Oryza sativa Japonica Group: one gene and its partner. The protein of the gene in region 1 binds, or shares a complex with, the protein of each later gene. Links are inferred from orthologs where the notes say so. Each region holds a gene or a part of one and is shown on either strand. Other genes may lie near its edges.

Region 1 (3,627 bases):
CCACTGTACGAATAGCATCTACAGCTGTTCTTTGACCAGCATAGGGTGATGCTTTTCTTGAGCTTTTGAATCCACAAGTACCCGCGGAGGACCAGAAAACCACCCGACCTTGCGGATCTGTAACAGTTATAATAGTATTGTTGAAACTAGCTTGAACATGAATAACTCCTTTTGTTATTCTACGTGCACTCTTCCGTAAACTAAAACGCGCATTCCTACGCAAACCAATACGTACTTTCCTACGTGAACCAATTTTTGGTATAGCTTTTGTCATATTTTATTATCTCATAAATATGAGTTAGAAATAACAAAAAGAAAAAAAGATACAAAGATATCCGTTTCAGGGTAAAATATATCCTTTACTTGAATTTTTTTATTTGGAATTTGGACATTTTCGCGGGTACTTTTTTTTTTACTTTTTAGAAAGTCAAGTTCTTTTTTCGAAAGATTACCCCTGTCTTTGTTTATGCTTCGGATTGGAACAAATGACTCTAATTCGTCCACGCCTACGAATCAGTCGACATTTTGTACAAATTTTACGAACAGAAGCTCTTATTTTCATATTTCCGTATTCCTTTCTTAAACTATGAATTTACTCTTTTGGAAAAAATAAGTCTCTTTGTTTGAATTTTAGAACTTTGAATTTTTTACCCTAGAAAAAAAAAAGAAAAACCTAACCCTTTGAATCTTTGGTATCCTTCAAATCTTCGGTATCCTTCGAGTCTTCGGTACGCTTCGAATCCTTATGGGGAAGTCTATAAATTATACGCCCCTTGCTTGAATCATAACGACTTACTTCAATTTTGACCCTATCCCCCATCAGTATTCGTATAGAACTAGACCGGATCTTTCCTGAAATATAGCCCAGGATGATGGTGTCATTCTCTAGGCGAACGCGGAACATTCCGTTGGGTAGGGCTTCCATAACTAAACCCTCGAAAGTAATTTTTGCTTCTCTCGGGTTTTTTTTTTCTCTCCTATTTTTCTTTTCTGTCATATTTTTTTTTCTCCTATTTTTCTTTTTTTATTTTCAAATAAAAAAACGTTGTATTTTTGTTTGAAAAATAGGAAGTTCAAGATAGAATTTGGGTACTATAACTATAGGTGGGGCGATTACCGCTATAGGCGGGCGATTACCATATATAACATAAGACTTCTCCCCCAATTCTGTTTAGTCGAGCTTCTCGATCTGTCATTATACCTCGAGAAGTAGAAAGAATAGCAATTCCCATTCCGCCCAAAACCTTAGGAATTCCTTGATAGTTGGCATAAATTCGTAAGCCAGGTCGGCTGATACGCTTTAAAAAGGTTCTAGTTCTATATATTCCCTTTCTAGTCTTTCTCTTTTGATGTCGCAAAGTTGAAACCAAGAAATATCTGTTACTTTCCTGATGTTTCCGAACACTTTCAATAAAACCCTCTCGTAGAAGTATTTTAACAATGTTTTCGGTAATATTTGTAGATACTACCCGAACAGTTCCTTTTTTATTCATGTCCGCGTTTCTTATAGAGGTTAGTAAATCAGCAATAGTGTCCTTGCCCATAAGACTCTAATTCTAGGTTCCTCCTAATTTTTCTATAATCAACATGTTCTCTTTTTTCTTTTCGTTTTGGATTCTAAAGCATATACGTGAAACACAATCTACTAATTTTTTATTTGATCTATATCTTGTCTACTAGTATTTATAATACTTCAGGAGCTAATGAAACTATTTTAGTAAAATTCAATTCTCTCAATTCCTCGGCGATCGCGCCAAAAACGCGAGTTCCTTTTGGATTTCCTTTTTGATCAATGATAACCGCTGCATTGTCGTCATAGCGTATTATTATACCGTCTTCGCATTTGAACTCTTTACATGTACGTACAATTACAGCTCGAATTACTTCGGATCTTTCTAGAGGCATTTGGGGCACTGCGTCTTTGATTACAGCAACAATAACATCACCAATACGAGCATATCGCTGATTACTAGCAGCTCCTATGACTCGAATACACATCAATTTTCGAGCTCCACTGTTATCTGCTACATTTAAAAGGGTCTGAGGTTGAATCATATTATTTTGATTTCAATTTGTTATTTCAATGCAAAAGGATGAAAGAAATATTGTCTTTCCAGAAAGAAGAACCTGGTTTTTTATTTTCAATACTACTTTTTTTGGGGGGTTATATTTCTAACCGAAGAAATTGACTTCGTATGGGCATTTTGCTGGCAGCTATGGAAATAGCTCGTCTAGCTACAGTTTCGGATACTCCGCCCATTTCATAAAGTATTCGACCTGGTTTAACAACGGCTACCCAATATTCGGGGGATCCCTTTCCCGAACCCATACGTGTTTCGGTCGGTCTTATTGTAACCGGTTTGTCGGGAAATATACGTACCCAGATTTTTCCACCACGACGTGCATATCGTGTCATTGCTCTTCGTCCTGCTTCTATCTGCCTCGCCGTAATCCAAGTGGGTTCAAGTGCTTGAAGAGCATATCTACCAAAACAAATACAATTGCCTCGGTAGGATTTTCCCTTCATTCTTCCTCTATGTTGTTTACGAAATCTGGTTCTTTTGGGGTTATAGTCGATGGTTCTCTCTTAGTTCCATCTCTACTGCAAAACTGGACATGAGAGTTTCTTCTCATCCAGCTCCTCGCGAATCAAATGAGAAAGTGTGCCAAATTTCTCTAATTCCACAATATTCTAAAATATTACGGATAGATACACATTAATAGGAAAGGTTAGGGTTTTTAATATTGAATTTATTAAAATACTAAAATATATAGTCAAGAAAGAGGATCTAGAATATATCTAGATGTGTATGTTTATTTATCTATATTCTATATTTAATGTAATTCTTTTTTTTTTTTTTTTTAATCTCCTTTTTTTATTTTACTCTTATTGAATCGCGGTAAAGTATTCTAATTCAATAAAAATTTCGCGGGCGAATATTTACTCTTTCCTGTCTTATTTGTTAATTCATAACCTTATCAAATAAGACAATTTTTTTGGTTTGTTCCGCCATCCCACCCAATGAAGTATTGGGATTCTTTTCAAGAAAATCCTATCCAGTCATAGGTTCTGTCGTTCCCACTGCTTCTCCTTTAATGGTTAGGTTTGAATCTCGCAATGGAGCTTCCAAAAAATTTCTTTCCGAGTCAATTTCTCAGTTTTATTAACTCGGGACGCTCTTTGTTATTCCTTGAAATTTGTATTTCTTGTTTCAATCAAATTACGATTTCGAATTCTCTGTTATTTTTATTATATTGATGCTTTATCACATTGCTTTTTATGATGTAATTCATAGACCATACATATTGAATCCTATATCTTTCTTATTTCTCTTCCTTCTTTCTATCATCCTTCCTTTTATCTACATCCCCTTTAGTTTTGCTTCACAACTTAGAATCCTATTTTTTTTTAAAGAAAAAATTGCAGTTGCTACACGTATATGATAGATTTACTCATTTATGATAGATGTATTTATTCATATAGTGACTGTTTCTTAGTTAGGATCTCGACAATACGAAGCAATAGGTTGGTTATTAGTTCATTTTCTATAATTACATAGTAGGGTTCATTCTATTTTTTTTTAATCCCCTTTTTGAACCCTAAAAAAAAACTAACGAGTCACACAC
Region 2 (4,641 bases), on another chromosome or scaffold:
TTATCTTATCTAAAAGTTATACAACTTTCTTTTACATCACATATGCATGCATTATGATAATGAGTTTAAGCAGATCGTCAAGGATGTAATATGCCATAGACAATAGCAAACCACTTTCTTAATTTCCTTTGTACTATTCCATTGAGAATATACAAAAAGTCAGGTCTTTCAACCTTTAGAGAGTAATCATAGAGTAGCATCAATTTGATGATACATTAGTATCTCCTAGGCAAATACTAGATTTCCTTTATACTTAACTAGGGTGAAGCCTACTCCCTCCATCCCATAAAAAACCAACCTAGTACCGGATGCGACACATCCTAGTACTACGAATCTAGACATATATACGTCCAGATTCATAGTACTAGAAAATATCACATCCGGTTCTAGATTCGTTTTTTATGGGACGAAGGGAGTAAGTCACTTGCTGGAACCTGACTTTTTTTTTAATCTTTGACTAATTATATAGATTTACCCTTGTAAATTAGTACACTTATTTGTATTATATGGACTGCACAAAAGTTTTTTTTTTGGTTGTGTATTTCATGCTTCTTTCTTTTGCCTATAATCTACCTCGTGGTTTTCCTGCAGGGTTACCTTGATGAACAGTTTAATCAGCTGGAAGAACTGCAGGATGAATCAAGCCCCAATTTTGTTGAGGAAGTTGCGGCTCTGTTCTTCAAAGATTCATCAAGACTGTTGACAAATATAGAACAAGCAATGTAAGTAATATGTCTGCATCCACGATATGAATAGATAATTGATTTTTTGTACAATGATTACCCATGATTTGAAAGACATGACAATTACATTTACTTCCATTTCTTTTGATGCAGTGATAAATACCCTCAGGATTTCTACAGATTAGATTCTCTTGTGCAACAACTCAAAGGCAGCGGATCCAGGTATAAAACTGGGGCATATGCCCAGAACACAGAGTGAACAATATTCTTTTACAGGTCTCATCAGTGTAAAATCATGTCTTAGGTCTTAAATAACCAATATAAAAACATTCAAACTTAAGAATGCTTATTGATGTGAAATGAACAAATATTATTTGTTAATATGAATGTTCTCACCGAAAGCTTGTCATCTTTGCCTGCTTTATGTGTTCAAAATTCGCTAAAGTTGGCCTGTGTTTGGCGCAGCATTGGTGCACTGAGGATGAAGAATGAGTGCTCTGTGTTCAAAGTAAACTGCAATGACAGGAATCTGGAAGGGTATGCATTTCATTGACTCGTCCAACTTGTTCTTCACATACTATCCAATCATCATGCAATTTCCTCACATGATGTGATGAGGCCATGTTCTCTTTCAGATGCCGCAGGTCTCTTCAGAAGATGAAGAGGGAGCATGCCACTCTGAAGCAGAAGCTGGAATCATATTTTCAGGTATGTTGTACTACATCCTTGTCTCTCTCTCTTTCTGTTTACCTTATTTTCAGCATTGCTACATGGCTAAACAACTTGGTTATCTCCTGTTCCTTCTGCTGATGCAGTTACTGAGGCAAGTTGGTCCCCGTGATTATGCAGTGAGCTCAAGGAAGTAAGAAGAACAGTATGAGTTCCAAGGAAAATAAAGAACATATACATAGCAGCTATCAGTCTCTTGAAAATTCTGTCGCTGAAAAGTTTTTGTGCCAATCAGATACTCATAATGCTTAATGGTGCCTTTTTGTTGTGTTTGGATTGCATCTGTAGCTCCATAATCCATATATACTGTATGAAGTTATGTAAAGCCCTGCTTATGCACACTCTCCTTGCCTGTCTACAAAGTGCCATGAACTTGTGTTATTAGTCAGTAATTGTAGCAGAAAGTGTCATGGTACTAATATGAGCTTTTAATGTTTGAAACTAGTAATATGTAAACTAGTTTTTTGGGTTAATTAATTGCCCAGGTGCCATCATGGAAAACTATTTGTTTGTACTTTGTATACTCAACAAACGCTATAGTCACATTCCCAGAACCAAAGACACTTAAAAACACTGGTTTTTCATCTCTTCCACTAATATTCATAACAGTGTTTGAGCTTTAACCATCAATATCATTTTGAACGTTTCGATTTCTAAAATCTTAAAAACGTTATGGCTAGATTTGTCTTCAGAAGTCCTAAAAATATCATAACTTTGCTATATTCTTCATAAGTTTTATACTAGTAGTAATAATTTAATCATAAAAAAATGATTATCTATAGAAAAAGAAATGAGAGGACAAAAAAAAAAGAAAGAGAAACATCAGAATTGCAGAGGGCCAAGCCAATCATGGGCTTGGTCCATAGGCCCAAGAGACAAAGCCCAATCCATGGGCCTGGGCTTCCCTTTCCCTCCGTTTTATCTACTCCGATGCACGCACAGCTTATCCGATTCCATCCATTCCTCAAGCTCTCACTCCTCTCTCGCTTCCATGGCGCTCCTCGCCGTCCACGCCATGGCCGCGTCCCCGGCCACCTTCCCCTCCTCCCACCACCACGCCGCCGTCTCCTCCTACTGCGCGCTCCCCGCCGCCGCCGCATTCTCCCGCTCCCGCTCTCGCGTCGCCGCCGCCGCCGCCGCCACCCTCTCGGCCCCGCTCACTCCAGTTCTTGAAGGTAACTGACATGCCTACCTAACCTCCCTGTCTCTGTTTTGTTCGTCAATTCGGATTAGTCTGGTGTGAAATTGGCTCGATGATCTTATATGAAACTGCTTTTCAAATCGTATTGCACGAATTCAATTGATACAGCACCAAAACATAGATTGAAACAAAAACCTCGCAGTTTGAACCAATTACGATTCCAACTCAAATTACTCCATTTGGTGTGACCAGTTTACTGCGGGAGAGGGGACAAGAAGACCAAGAGGGGAAAAAGGTTCAACCACTCGTACGGAAATGTGAGTCTCTAGCACAAAAATAAAATTAATAAAAAAATCATATGCTTATTGCTTCCTGTGCTGCTGTTTGCTGCAATTCTTCAGACTTGCCATCTGCTGACTGCTGTTTGCTCATCTCAGGCGAGGCCGCGCAACAAGAAGAAGGGAACTGGCCCTGCACGGCTGTTCGCGCCGCCTGCGCCTCCGAGGAAGGACCAGTTCGACGACGGCGAGGTCACCCCGATCGACATCGACGATGACATCCTGGAATAGGTTGTCTGAATTTCCCCCCTTGAATTATGGTTTACCTTGAGCTTACCTTTTGTCTAGTCTGTACCAAACACTGTTTCTTGAAATTAATTACAGTACATTACATGGTCTCATTCTACATAATGTAGATGCCTATGATTTCTTTCCTTGTAATATATATGAATGGTGCTGCTTAGAGTCATTTTTTATGCATTACCAGCTGAAGCAGAACATAAGTACAGATACAATCACCAAACTTTCATGTTCTTGCTAGAAACCAGGGAAGATGCAGTATCTCTTTTTTTTTTCTTTTCTAGCTGTGTCCCTGAATTCAAGCACCTTTTGACATGCTTCGAATTTGTTGTGATGATCTGGGAAGCAGTTCTTAAGAATCAACTAATAAACCAGTCCATCAGATCGGGTCAGAAATCTGCCCCTTTTTTGTTGTTTTGTCTGTTGACTCTGTTATGCGCTTGAGTTTTGACACAAGAAATTGTTTTGATGATCTGCAAAACATATTCCTTTAAAGCTGGACAACAAACCAGTTCAACTGGTCAGCTTGGTGGTAATTGTATGTTAAAATTCTGTCATTTTTTGTTGTTTCGTCTGCAAGTTTGTTGTGAGCTGCTCCCCCCGCCCACAAGGGTAAGCAACTATCTCGCCCGAAATATACTACAATTTTGGCCCAAACTGGAAGTGTAAACCCTGCTACGCAATGGCTTTAAGAACCCTAAACCCTGAAGCATGTTTTGTTTGCTACCATTTCAAGCCATCACAAATTTTGGTAAGATAACGAACCAAATATGTTCGAGTATCCCTACCTTACCAAAATTTGGTAACGTACGAAACAAACCCGCCATCTGTTCAAAAATTTGGTGAAGTAACAAACCAAACATTTTCCCACAGTCCTAACATTTGATAAGTTCACACCTCTACAGCATATAAAAAATAGAGGGGGATAAATAGAGCAGTTGTCAGTTGTCACTTTTACTCAACTTCTGTTACTGTTATCTCTCCGAACCTAGAGGCAACATCACTTGTCTTCCACTGGACTGAAACCAGGGTCCAGTGTGATGCCAACCTGCTGCAAGGCTGCAACCTATTACAACAACTGAACCTCATGAAACAAGACATTTTGCTTTTCATTTTGATGCATTTTGATTTGAAGAATAAGGTTTTACCCTGATTCTGTTAATGAAACCATCATTTGGATTACAGAGTTTGCAACCAATGCACTAGATTTTTATATTAAGAAATACTAGGGTTCATTCTCATTTTTTTCAATCAACAGGACAACATCCATAGTGGTAACTTGACAAGATGAGACAAACAATGCACAAAACATATATTCTTGAAAAAGGAAAAATAGTAACAATACATACTCGATGTTGCCGTGCAAGTTTCTAGTACTACTTATATGTACCTTAAGCAAACATTGCATATTAATGGAAAACATGTCTCAGCTATTTTCGCAATGCAGAGGTGGTTCTGAATAATTCTGATCCTCCATATACATTTTGGCAATGCGGTATCTTTTTTGAGA

The links. The genes of interacting proteins can lie anywhere in the genome.
Region 2: rps8 (region 1) and 30S ribosomal protein S31, chloroplastic share a complex: the UniProt entries of both Arabidopsis thaliana proteins name them as parts of the 30S ribosomal subunit. The link is inferred for Oryza sativa Japonica Group from reciprocal best matches to the Arabidopsis thaliana genes rps8 and PSRP4.

What each region holds. Positions count from the first base shown.
Region 1 is NC_001320.1:75,565-79,191, forward strand, and holds rps8 (ribosomal protein S8), read right to left. Parts: upstream 1,545-3,627; coding exon 1,134-1,544; downstream 1-1,133. Other genes in the region: rps11 (ribosomal protein S11), read right to left, coding at 1-274; rpl36 (ribosomal protein L36), read right to left, coding at 449-562; infA (translation initiation factor 1), read right to left, coding at 674-997; rpl14 (ribosomal protein L14), read right to left, coding at 1,684-2,055; rpl16 (ribosomal protein L16), read right to left, coding at 2,165-2,566, 3,626-3,627. UniProt on the Arabidopsis thaliana protein: One of the primary rRNA binding proteins, it binds directly to 16S rRNA central domain where it helps coordinate assembly of the platform of the 30S subunit.
Region 2 is NC_089039.1:5,295,246-5,299,886, reverse strand, and holds 30S ribosomal protein S31, chloroplastic, read left to right. Parts: upstream 1-2,357; 5' UTR 2,358-2,403; coding exon 2,404-2,587; intron 2,588-2,805; coding exon 2,806-2,870; intron 2,871-2,954; coding exon 2,955-3,122; 3' UTR 3,123-3,513; downstream 3,514-4,641. Other genes in the region: pseudo histidine-containing phosphotransfer protein 2, read left to right, coding at 592-722, 837-905, 1,149-1,220, 1,319-1,391, 1,499-1,549.